Linked DNA regions of Macaca fascicularis. Each later gene encodes a partner of the first gene's protein in a complex. Links are inferred from orthologs where the notes say so. Each region holds a gene or a part of one and is shown in the gene's direction. Other genes may lie near its edges. The genes, in order: SMURF1, SMAD1 and SMAD7.

The links.
Region 2: the proteins of SMURF1 (region 1) and SMAD1 are in contact, whole or in part, in an NMR structure (PDB 2LB1), measured with the Homo sapiens proteins. The link is inferred for Macaca fascicularis from reciprocal best matches to the Homo sapiens genes SMURF1 and SMAD1. Residues at the interface, in NP_065162.1 of Homo sapiens: Glu313, Val314, Arg315, Ser316, Arg321, Tyr323, Val325, Asp326, His327, Arg330, Thr331, Thr332, Gln333, Phe334; in NP_001003688.1 of Homo sapiens: Asp221, Thr222, Pro223, Pro224, Pro225, Ala226, Tyr227, Leu228, Pro229, Pro230, Glu231, Asp232.
Region 3: the proteins of SMURF1 (region 1) and SMAD7 are in contact, whole or in part, in an NMR structure (PDB 2LTX), measured with the Homo sapiens proteins. The link is inferred for Macaca fascicularis from reciprocal best matches to the Homo sapiens genes SMURF1 and SMAD7. Residues at the interface, in NP_065162.1 of Homo sapiens: Glu313, Arg315, Ser316, Thr317, Arg321, Tyr323, Val325, Asp326, His327, Arg330, Thr331, Thr332, Phe334, Thr335; in NP_005895.1 of Homo sapiens: Glu203, Glu205, Ser206, Pro207, Pro208, Pro209, Pro210, Tyr211, Ser212, Arg213, Tyr214, Pro215, Asp217.

What each region holds. Positions count from the first base shown.
Region 1 is NC_088377.1:47,714,509-47,718,696, reverse strand, and holds the start of SMURF1 (E3 ubiquitin-protein ligase SMURF1), read left to right. Parts: upstream 1-1,273; 5' UTR 1,274-2,116; coding exon 2,117-2,264; intron 2,265-4,188. UniProt on the Homo sapiens protein: E3 ubiquitin-protein ligase that acts as a negative regulator of BMP signaling pathway. Mediates ubiquitination and degradation of SMAD1 and SMAD5, 2 receptor-regulated SMADs specific for the BMP pathway.
Region 2 is NC_088379.1:150,443,919-150,446,323, forward strand, and holds the end of SMAD1 (mothers against decapentaplegic homolog 1), read left to right. Parts: intron 1-471; coding exon 472-615; 3' UTR 616-1,866; downstream 1,867-2,405. UniProt on the Homo sapiens protein: Transcriptional modulator that plays a role in various cellular processes, including embryonic development, cell differentiation, and tissue homeostasis.
Region 3 is NC_088392.1:40,812,710-40,816,847, forward strand, and holds the start of SMAD7 (mothers against decapentaplegic homolog 7), read left to right. Parts: upstream 1-1,327; 5' UTR 1,328-1,817; coding exon 1,818-2,430; intron 2,431-2,862; exon of another isoform or gene 2,863-2,975; intron 2,976-3,764; coding exon 3,765-3,818; intron 3,819-4,138. UniProt on the Homo sapiens protein: Antagonist of signaling by TGF-beta (transforming growth factor) type 1 receptor superfamily members; has been shown to inhibit TGF-beta (Transforming growth factor) and activin signaling by associating with their receptors thus preventing SMAD2 access.

The sequences.
Region 1 (4,188 bases):
AGAACCTCACTTATGTAAGGCAGGCCAAACTTTTGTTTCAAAAACCATATAACACAGTTGTTGTGATAAGATGGAATAAGTGGTCAGTTTTTAGCTCCCTTTGCATTTACATTAGGGTTTGCCTCAAATTTAGGAAGACACAGCTTAAGGCAGTTCTTTGAGCTGAATTATTGGAAGGTGTAGGATGGGTTAGAACAAATGCTGTTGCAAAACTTGAATTGCAATTATACTTTAAGAAGAATCACGTCCTGCCAAATAGAGGTTTTTATCATTGATTTTGTGATTTGATCACATTTGCGTTGCCTTTTAAAACAACTTTCTCTTTTCAAATACTTTTTTTTTTCCTTTTAATCTTCTTGGCCCACCCAACTGACTTTAGACATGAAATTTTTCATATGCTTTATTTCTATCTCCATTTTTACCGTAGTTGTGATTTATCAAACCAAGATTTTTTACTTCAAGCCCATCTGTCAGAGTTTAAACCCTCTAGTCTTAGTTTAAACGACATACAAAAGTCATTTCTGAATGTTGGGTTTTTCTTTCTCTTCCACAAATTTTCATTTTCTTGGTTCAGTCACAATGTCAGGTTCTAGTGTGGAACATTGGGTGAAAGAAAGGAGGTTTTGGAGGCTGTGTTATTTATGAAATATTTCCTCATGGATTAAGAAAGAAAAAAAGACAAAAAGACAAATAATGTTTCAATATCACCTCAGTGATCCAGTTAACTAGACTGGCTGTTTTGTACAACATTGTGGGCACTGGTTAACAGTTAAAATAGCTGAATTGTGCATTTTATTGAGTGAGGTTCAAAAAAGCCTCAAATGGATGAAATAACTTGGTATCTTTGCCATGCTCTGATTTGCTGGGTAAGAAAGCTAACTTATAGGATGCTTATTTGGATCAATTTTATATAATTTCAAAACCATTTTAGAGGCTAATTTTTTTTAAAACAAATAAGGAATATACAGTTTTTTTTTTTTTGGTCACTGAACAAGTTAAATTACTGGTTTGTTATTTTGTGAGTGAGTTTGTAAGTGAAAGCCTCCAACCTAAATTAGCTTCTTGTCCAGGGAACTCATTCTGACTGACTAAAGTCCCTAAGGCCTTTCTAGTTAAAGGAAAGCCATGGAGCTATGTTTAAAAAACAAAAGCACATAGCCATGTGGCTTCTTTTTAAAATGTCAGTATTACTGTTTTGTCTGCAGACGCAATTTAATTCATTTCGATATTTAAACCAAGTGGAATGTTGTTTCTACATTTCTGGACTAATGGGGGGAAAAAACCCTTATATTCTTTTAAAACAAGGCTTAAATAATGTACAATGAGCCCGTCTGGTGACGCGCCCCACTCTGTAATTCCAGCTGTGTTCACCTCCACTGCAGCTGAAAGGAATTCTAATTGGCTGAGGAATGTCGGCAACATCGTTTATCACTGAACAGGAACCTATCCTCCTGGCTGCTGGATGATGCATTTCAGATGTTTTAAGCTCCTGAGCCCAACTTGGGGCTTGCTTTCAGGAGTCTGTAAGAGCATGTCATGAAGCTGCAGATTGTAGACGGCAGCCTGTGTTCTTCTTTGTATGTTGGGCATCCGCTGAGTTTTCTAAAGGACATGATGGTTTCTTATGGCTCCAACACTGGATTGGGGATCAGAAGGTCTGAATTTGATTTCTAATTCACACAAGTACCACAGTGAAGAAAGGGGAGGGGGTGCATAGAACTATAATCTTTTCTTGATTCAGTTTTCCTATCTTTAATGCCAGAGATCTGTCTTTTTAGATTACAAAGGGACCTGCTAGAGATGGATTAAATATTTTAATGAGTAGTTATGAATTATTTATAGAGTATCACAATGTTAATATGGTCATAGATTCCTGTTATTTCTTATTCCTAAATAACCAGGTAAATAATAAAGCTAATAATGTACTTTTATATTGAAGAAAATCTATAGAACCGATTAATAAACATGAAAAAATAATACAATGAATTGATAAATTCTCTATGTATTCAGAAAGTTCCTTAGAGAAATAGTGTTAGAAGCCAAAACCAGCATTATCTTTATTTTTATTTTATTTTATGTTTTTCCCAGGCCAGGTAATGTGCCATGGGACAGCCTCATGTTTATTTTTTGTTTTGTTTGGAGACGGGGTCTCGCTCTGTTACTCAGGCTGGGGTGCAGTGGCACGATCATGACTTACTGCAGCCTCGACTTTCTGGGTTCCAGTGATCCTCCCACCTCAGCCTCCCGAGTAGCTGAGACCACAGGTATGTGACACCATGGCCGGCTAATCATCGTAGCTTTGGTAGAGAAGGGGTTTCGCCGTGTTGCCTGGCTGGTCTTGAATTCGAGAGCTTAAGCAGTCTACCTGCCTCAGCCTCCCAAAGTGCTATGATTACAGGCATGAGCCACTGCACCTAGCCCGCATCATCTTTAAATGATGAAATTGTGGAAGCATTCCCATTAAAATCAGGAACAATGCAGGGATGTACACTGTCAAAATAGTTACTATTAATAACTACAGAAAGACATCAGAAAGCGGGAGACAAAATTGCTGTTATTTACAGATGTTATGATATATCTTTAAAAGCCCAAAAGATCAGCTGAAAAACAATTATAAACAATAAAAAAACTTTAGCTGGATGGAAAATTTCTCCATGGCAAAAATAGGATAAAACATGCAAAGACAAACTATAAAAACAATCTATAATGGATATGAAAATGAAAGTGTGGTTTTCCTAATACATAAAGAGCCTTTAAAATCAATTAGGAAAAGGCCAGTACCTAATAGGCAAAGGATATGGGCAATTCACATAAAAGAAAATAGAAATGGATTTGAAACGTGAAAAGACAACCCTGGCCGGGCGCGGTGGCTCAAGCCTGTAATCCCAGCACTTTGGGAGGCCGAGACGGGCGGATCACGAGGTCAGAAGATCAAGACCACCCTGGCTAACTCGGTGAAACCCCGTCTCTACTAAAAAATACAAAAAACTAGCTGGGCGAGGTGGCGGGCGCCTGTAGTCCCAGCTACTCGGGAGGCTGAAGCAGGAGAATGGCGTAAACCGGGAGGCGGAGCTTGCAGTGAGCTGAGATCATGCTACTGCACTCCAGCCTGGGCGACAGAGCAAGACTCCGTCTCAAAAAAAAAAAAAAAAAAAAAAAAAAAGAAAAGGCTACCCTATTTTCTCTCTTCTTCTTTCCTTTTCTTTTCTTTTTTAGAGATGGGGTCTTGCTCTGTAGTCCAGGCTAGACTAGAGGACACTGGCATGATCATAGTTCACTGCAGCGTGGAACTCCTGGGCTCAAACAAACATAATTTCCTGGGTAGCTGGGACTACAAGTATATGCCACTGTGCCCTGTTCTCTCTAATGCCCATTTTCTTTCTTTAAGAAATTATTTTTCATTGATAATCAGTCCTATTCATACTAAACAAACTACAAATTAAAAGTAAGAATGAAACAATTTTTCATTTAGAAGAATGGCAGACCAAACAGTTTGAAATTTTTCTGTGATGAGACAAGGGTGTGGAAAAACAGGTCTTTTACCCTGGTGGTTGAGAATATAAATTGATAGAGTAGGTACTAAGGGCAGTTTGGTACTATCTATCAGATCATAAATGTTTATGCTCTTTGATCTAGCAAGTCTACATGTCGGACTTTTATGGGTGTATTCACACATTTATGTCAAGTCTGATATGCAAAATCATTGCAGCATTGATTGAAATTACAAAAGACTGAAATCAACGTGAATGTGTATCAGCAGCGACTAGTTAAGTAAATGGTTGTGTATCCCCAATGATGCGTAGCTGTTTAAAATAGTAAGATAGCGTTTTATATTCTGATATGGAACATTCTCCAAGATACATTATTGAGTGTGGGGGTGGGGGGGGAAGCATGATTCAAAACAGAGACTAGTGTGAGTGCTATTTGAATAATAAAACAAGAAATAAAAATAAAGGGGGAAATTTATAGATAGGTCTGTATAGAATATGACTGGAAGATGTTGACTGTTGATTTCCTCTGAAGAGATTCTCCTGTTCTCCTCTTCAGATGAAAGAGAGAGAGAGGAGAGAGGAGAGAAAAGAGAGAAGAGAGGGCAACTTTTCATTATATGCCTTTTGTAATATTTAATCTCCTCCCTTCTCTCACCCCCTTGAGCGTATATTGTTTTTCAACAATTAAAAAGATTAA
Region 2 (2,405 bases), on another chromosome or scaffold:
TTGAAAGATCAAGAGCTGTGTGTTGATAGGAGGCTGATTCAGTGGCCGAATAAGGAAGAAATTGAATGTCAGTCTGTCTAGCATAGCTTTTTTGTTTTATTTTCTTGATAAAATGAGAATTTAATAATAGCTATTACATTACTATCAGAAATGGGCAATTAAAATAAAAGTTTTACAGTGCCTTTATTAAGACAACTTTATAATGTATTTTAAAATCTTCATTCCTCAAGACTGGTAATTCTTATTGGAATCCTTGGATGGACCCTGGGGAGCTAACATCCATCCTTTGAAATTGCCTGCCAAATTATATGTGTGTTTGTATATGTGTGTTTTTTTCTCCCCGGCGGCGGGGGGCAGGGAGGAAAGATGCATAGCTTTAATCAGAGTCTTGGTTATGTGAACCCTTCTTACTTAATAAGTTTAACCACTGAGTTAAAACAAGTTAAATGACCTCCAGTATGTTTTTCCTAGGGCTGGGGAGCAGAATACCACCGCCAGGATGTTACTAGCACCCCCTGCTGGATTGAGATACATCTGCACGGCCCCCTCCAGTGGCTGGATAAAGTTCTTACTCAAATGGGTTCACCTCATAATCCTATTTCATCTGTGTCTTAAATGGCCCCAGGCATCTGCCTCTTGAAAACTATTGAGCCTTGCATGTACTTGAAGGATGGATGAGTCAGACACGATTGAGAACTGACAAAGGAGCCTTGATAATACTTGACCTCTGTGACCAACTGTTGGATTCAGAAATTTAAACAACAAAACAAAACAAAAAAACCCACCTTGGTAACATACTGTTGATATCAAGAACCTGTTTAGTTTACATCGTAACATTCTATTGTAAAATCAAACTAAAATGCAGACTTTTAGCAGGACTTTGTGTATAGTTAAAGGAGAAATGGCCAAGCCAGGGACAAATTGTCTATTAGAAAATGGTCCTAAGAGATTCTTTGGTGTTTGGCACTTTAAGGTCATCGTTGGGCAGAAGTTTAGCATTAATAGTTGTTCTGAAACGTGTTTTATCAGGTTTAGAGCCCATGTTGAGTCTTCTTTTCATGGGTTTTCATAATATTTTAAAACTATTTGTTTAGCGATGGTTTTGTTTGTTTGTTTTCAGTAAAGGTTAGTCTTGATGATATACATAATAATCTTTCTAAAATTGTATACTGACCATACTTGCTGTCAGAATAATGCTAGGCATATGCTCTTTCCTAAATATGTATGTACAGAGTATTTGGAAGTTAAGAATTGATTAGACTAGTGAATTTAGGAGTATTTGAGGTGGGTGGGGGGAAGAGGGAAATGACAACTGCAAATGTAGACTATACTGTAAAAATTCAGTTTGTTGCTTTAAAGAAACAAACTGATATCTGAATTTTGCTGTGTTTCCATTTTTTAGAGATTTTTATCATTTTTTTCTCTCTCTTTTGGCATTCTTTTATCTCATGCTCTTCAAAAGGCAGTTCTGCAGCTGGTTAATTCATGTAACTGTGAGAACAAATGAATAATTCCTGCTATTCTGAAATTGCTTACATGTTTCAATACCAGTTATATGGAGTGCTTGAATTTAATAAGCAGTTTTTACGGAGTTTACAGTACAGAAATAGGCTTTAATTTTCAAGTGAATTTTTTGCCAAACTTAGTAACTGTTAAATATTTGGAGGATTTAAAGAACATCCCAGTTTGAATTCATTTCAAACTTTTTAAATTTTTTTGTACTATGTTTGGTTTTATCTTTCTTCTGTTAATCTTTTGTATTCACTTATGCTCTCGTACATTGAGTACTTTTATTCCAAAACTAGTGGGTTTTCTCTACTGGAAATTTTCAATAAACCTGTCATTATTGCTTACTTTGATTAAAAATTTGTCATTTCCTTTGTTCACCTACTAGATTTTAGGATCAGTAAAGTTTGCTACCCTTCTGAGAGTTTTTTTCTTAAATATCCTCCACCAAACATGAGTGAAATTACTATTTCAGAGACTGGACACAGCAGCATGAAGAGACTGGAGCCAATTTCAGTCACAAAACACAGGAGATGTACACCTTTAAAAATTAAGAAAAACTACAAAAATCTTACATGTATGAACTTTTTAATTCTAGAAATTATAGCAACAGCACTTGTTGGTTAGTACCAGGCAGTCAACCAAAGCAACAATTTCTAAACTTCAGATGAAGATACAAGCGTGACTGTGGGAGGAGGTAATAAAGGGGGAGGGATGAGAACTCACAGTGCAGCAGATGACGACTACCTTTGCAGTCAGTCTACTTAAGGCTGGGATGATCCCAACACTACCCATTCCCCCACAAAAAAGTTTCCCAATGAGGGACACAGATTGAAGGACACTTAGATTATTTCCTGCCCCAATAGATGCCATTCTTTCTCCTTTACATTTTTGTGTAT
Region 3 (4,138 bases), on another chromosome or scaffold:
CAGGGTGTCTAGACGGCCACGTGACGAGGCCGGAGCCGGGCGCGCCACTGCGCAGTGGAACCAGCCGAGCAGAGGGCCGGAGGGGGGGTGCGGGGGGGCGGGGAGGAGGCGGCGGCGGCGGCGGCTGGGGGCGGGGGAGGGAAGGGGGAGGAAGGGGGAGGGAAGGGGGCGGGGGCGGGGGCGGGAGGCCTTGCGGGAGGCGGCGAGGTCTGGGCACACTCGCTTGCTGCTCGGCGCACTGAAGATCTTGTCCCCGAGCCGCGCCAGCCGAGCCAGCCGGGCGCCGTGCTCGGTCCGCTCGCCGCGCGGGAGAGAGCTGCCCGAGACAGAGCCAGTCCGCCGCCGCCGAGCCGCCGAACGCCCGGCCCCTGAGCCCCAGAGTGCGGCGCGGCGAGCCCCTGGCGGCGGCAGAAGGACCAGAGCGCCAGGAGAGGGCGGACCGGGGACAAGGAGGCTCCCGGGCGCGACGAGGAGAGTCTCGGAGGAGGAGGCGCCGAGAGGACACCGGGGCCTCCTGCCGCCGCTGCTGGGGCCAGGCGAGCAGCCCATGCGGGGACCCTCGGCGGGCAGCCGCGGCCAGGGGAAGGGACACCGGCGGCCCCCGCACTAGCAAGCAGCTTGTGCCCAGGGGGGGCGAGAACGCGCGACCCGCCTGGGGCCCTCCGCCGCCGCCGCCGCCGCGCCGCCCTCCCCCGCGCTGTCAGCCCCGCCGGGCTCAGCCGCCGCCGCAGCATCTTCTGCCCCTGCGCCCCCGCCAGCCTCGAGGAAGTCCCCGCCGAGGACCTGGGCCCCCAGGAGCGCAGGAGGAAAGACCAGAGACTCCCCTAAACCACCCAGATGCGCAGGATTGAAGCGGTCTAGCCAAAGCTTTCTGTGGATTAAAAAAATACACGATTTTTTTTTTTTTGGCAGAAGGAGAGGAAGACCAGCGGGGCTTTGCAAGGAAAAAAGGGGGGGATGTAACTCGTGGATACATTTTTCCACCCCTCAAACATCTTGTTATACTTTGTAAACATTTTCTTTTTTTAAACCCCAGCTCCAGCCGGACGCCCCCAGACCTCAGAGGTTCGAGGAGGTGGTGTTTTTCATTTGGGGCTTTGCATATTTGGTTGTTAGGTTTTGCGAGAGCCTTCTTATTTCGCCAGACATCTCATGCGGGGTGAAGTCCACTCGGCCCCCTCCCCTGAGTCTTCGTGTGCACGGAATTCGAGGAGATCCGGTTACTAAGGATATAGAGAAAAAAAATAAATTGCGTGCTTGCTTTTTTTTTTTTTAATTGCCTGCTTCTCCCCACCCCCAAATTAAGTTGCTTAGCAAGGGGGAAAGAGGCTTTTTCCTTCTTCCAGCAGCCCAGCCGAACGCCTTTCGCTTTTTTGCCTCCGCGGACCTTCCATGTAGGAAGCCGAGGCTGGCGAGCCCGACATTCGGGAGCCACTGCGGGGGGGCCTCTTTTTGGGGAGGCGCCGACGGGGGCAGGCTCGGCCGTCCCCAGGGAAGCGGCGGCCGGGTTCCTCCGGGGCGCGCCGGGGCCGGAGAGCCGCGCAGGGCGCGGGCCGCGCGGGGTGGGGCAGCCGGAGCGCAGGCCCCCGATCCCCGGCGGGCGCCCCCGGGCCCCCGCGCGCGCCCCGGCCTCCGGGAGACTGGCGCATGCCACGGAGCGCCCCACGGGCCGCCGCCGCTCCTGCCCGGGCCCCTGCTGCTGCTGCTGTCGCCTGCGCCTGCTGCCCCAACTCGGCGCCCGACTTCTTCATGGTGTGCGGAGGTCATGTTCGCTCCTTAGCCGCCAAACGACTTTTCTCCTCGCCTCCTCGCCCCGCATGTTCAGGACCAAACGATCTGCGCTCGTCCGGCGTCTCTGGAGGAGCCGTGCGCCCGGCGGCGAGGACGAGGAGGAGGGCGCGGGGGGAGGTGGAGGAGGCGGCGAGCTGCGGGGAGAAGGGGCGACGGACAGCGGAGCGCATGGGGCCGGTGGCGGCGGCCCGGGCAGGGCTGGATGCTGCCTGGGCAAGGCGGTGCGAGGTGCCAAAGGTCACCACCATCCCCACCCGCCAGCCGCGGGCGCCGGCGCGGCCGGGGGCGCCGAAGCGGATCTGAAGGCGCTCACGCACTCGGTGCTCAAGAAACTGAAGGAGCGGCAGCTGGAGCTGCTGCTCCAGGCCGTGGAGTCCCGCGGCGGGACGCGCACCGCGTGCCTCCTGCTGCCCGGCCGCCTGGACTGCAGGCTGGGCCCGGGGGCGCCCGCCAGCGCGCAGCCTGCGCAGCCGCCCTCGTCCTACTCGCTCCCCCTCCTGCTGTGCAAAGTGTTCAGGTGGCCGGATCTCAGGCATTCCTCGGAAGTCAAGAGGCTGTGTTGCTGTGAATCTTACGGGAAGATCAACCCCGAGCTGGTGTGCTGCAACCCCCATCACCTTAGCCGACTCTGCGAACTAGGTGAGAAGTTGTCCCCTTACCCCCAGCATTTTCCGGCGCGCCAGTGCTGGAAGAAAAGCCCTTAGGGCAGTGCGTTTGTGCAGCCACCCCTCCAGGGGGAGTGTGCATCCCCTCCTGGGAGGAGACTGGGGGCCGAAAGTAGAGAAGGGACACGGGGAAACTCAAAGGGCATTCCCTGGGGTTTCCCTTCCAGGATTTCTCCTGTGTTGCCCCGAAGGGGTCTATGGGCACTGCTCCTGCACACAGTTTGCGGTTAAAAATTAGACGCCTTCATTTCCGGATCAACAAGGGGGTGCAGAGGGAGATGGGGGGGTCACGCCTCCCCGCACCCGGAAAGGCGTTGAGGTGTGTGACCGAGTTGGATTTGGTCCAGGCCCGCCAAGGAAGGCTGGGAGAAGCATGCTATAAAAAGGCTGGAAGGTCTCCGTATTTACTCCTTCAGTAAATAAGGAGAATCACGTCGAACACAAGTGGCCCAGACACTGTCGTGGCCGCGCAGCTTTGGAGTTTTGGGGCAAAGAGAGTTGGATGGAAGGCCGAACTGGGTATCTGTCTCATTTCAACTCTGCCAGCCCCAGGGTGCAGAGGAACAAACAGCCAGGAGAAGTTGGGTGTCCCCTACTTTTTCCTTCCTTCCGCACAGATAAGTCTATAGATTAGTGGGGCCCTGCGCCTCGGTGACGTTGTCGCCCCTTACTGCGCTGGGGCCAGGGCTTCTCGGCTGAGACCCTGAAACTTCTTCCCTTTTATCCTGTCAGCTTTCTCCATTCCTTCCTTTTCTGTATGTCTCTGTACACGGAGTGTGATGTGAGGGTTCACCCCGGGCGACCGCAGATCCCCCAAGTTCACCAGCACGCTTGGGCTGCATCTCCCGAGTGCGCTGGGAATGGGGAGCCCCGTGTCCCTCGCGCGGGTGCCCAGCGGACCGGCGGGGGCGGAGGTGAATTGCACCCCTGGGGGGCGGGCCAGGGCGGGGAACCGAGGTTGCTGGGAGCTAGGTCTGGAGTCCGAGAACGGGGAGGGGGTATGGTCGCCCCCCGCCTGTGAACTGTGAAGTGCGCGGCTCCGGCTGAGCCGGTGGTTTCCAGCCGGGCCAGCCGAGCGCGGCGGCGGCGGCCGCAGACGTGGAGGAGCGGAGCGCCGAGGCTGGCGCCAGGCGGCCTCTTTTGTTTATCTGACAGCTAAATATCAAGGCAATCACCGCCTCGCGGCCCTGCCTCCAACCCCCACAGCTAAGACAAACAGTTGGGCTAAAAGAATGCTTCTGTTATCATAAGTTTCTATCTCTCTTCTCATGGCTGGGCCTTTATTTTCTCTTGCTTTTTTAATTTCAGAGTCTCCCCCCCCTCCTTACTCCAGATACCCGATGGATTTTCTCAAACCAACTGGTGAGTAGATGATTTTTAAAATATCCTTCCTATCTTAAGTTAGAAATAGAGCCTCTAGAACCTGGCTTTTTGTGTGTAGGCAAAGGCTTGGAGAGGTGCTGGACTTGCTTCACTTCACGTTGGTTCTAGGTTTCCTCTGTTGGAAGTTTGGTGAATTTTTCTGTTGTGACTGGGTTTTTGTTTTGTGTTTTTGCAAAGATGTTCCCTTGATATGCTTTACATTTTGTTCCTTTTTCCTGTATTTGCGCTCTGTAGCCGGTGGGCTCAGCTTTGATACGTGGAAGCTTTAGTCCAGAAAGAAGTGTCTTGGGAACCAAATA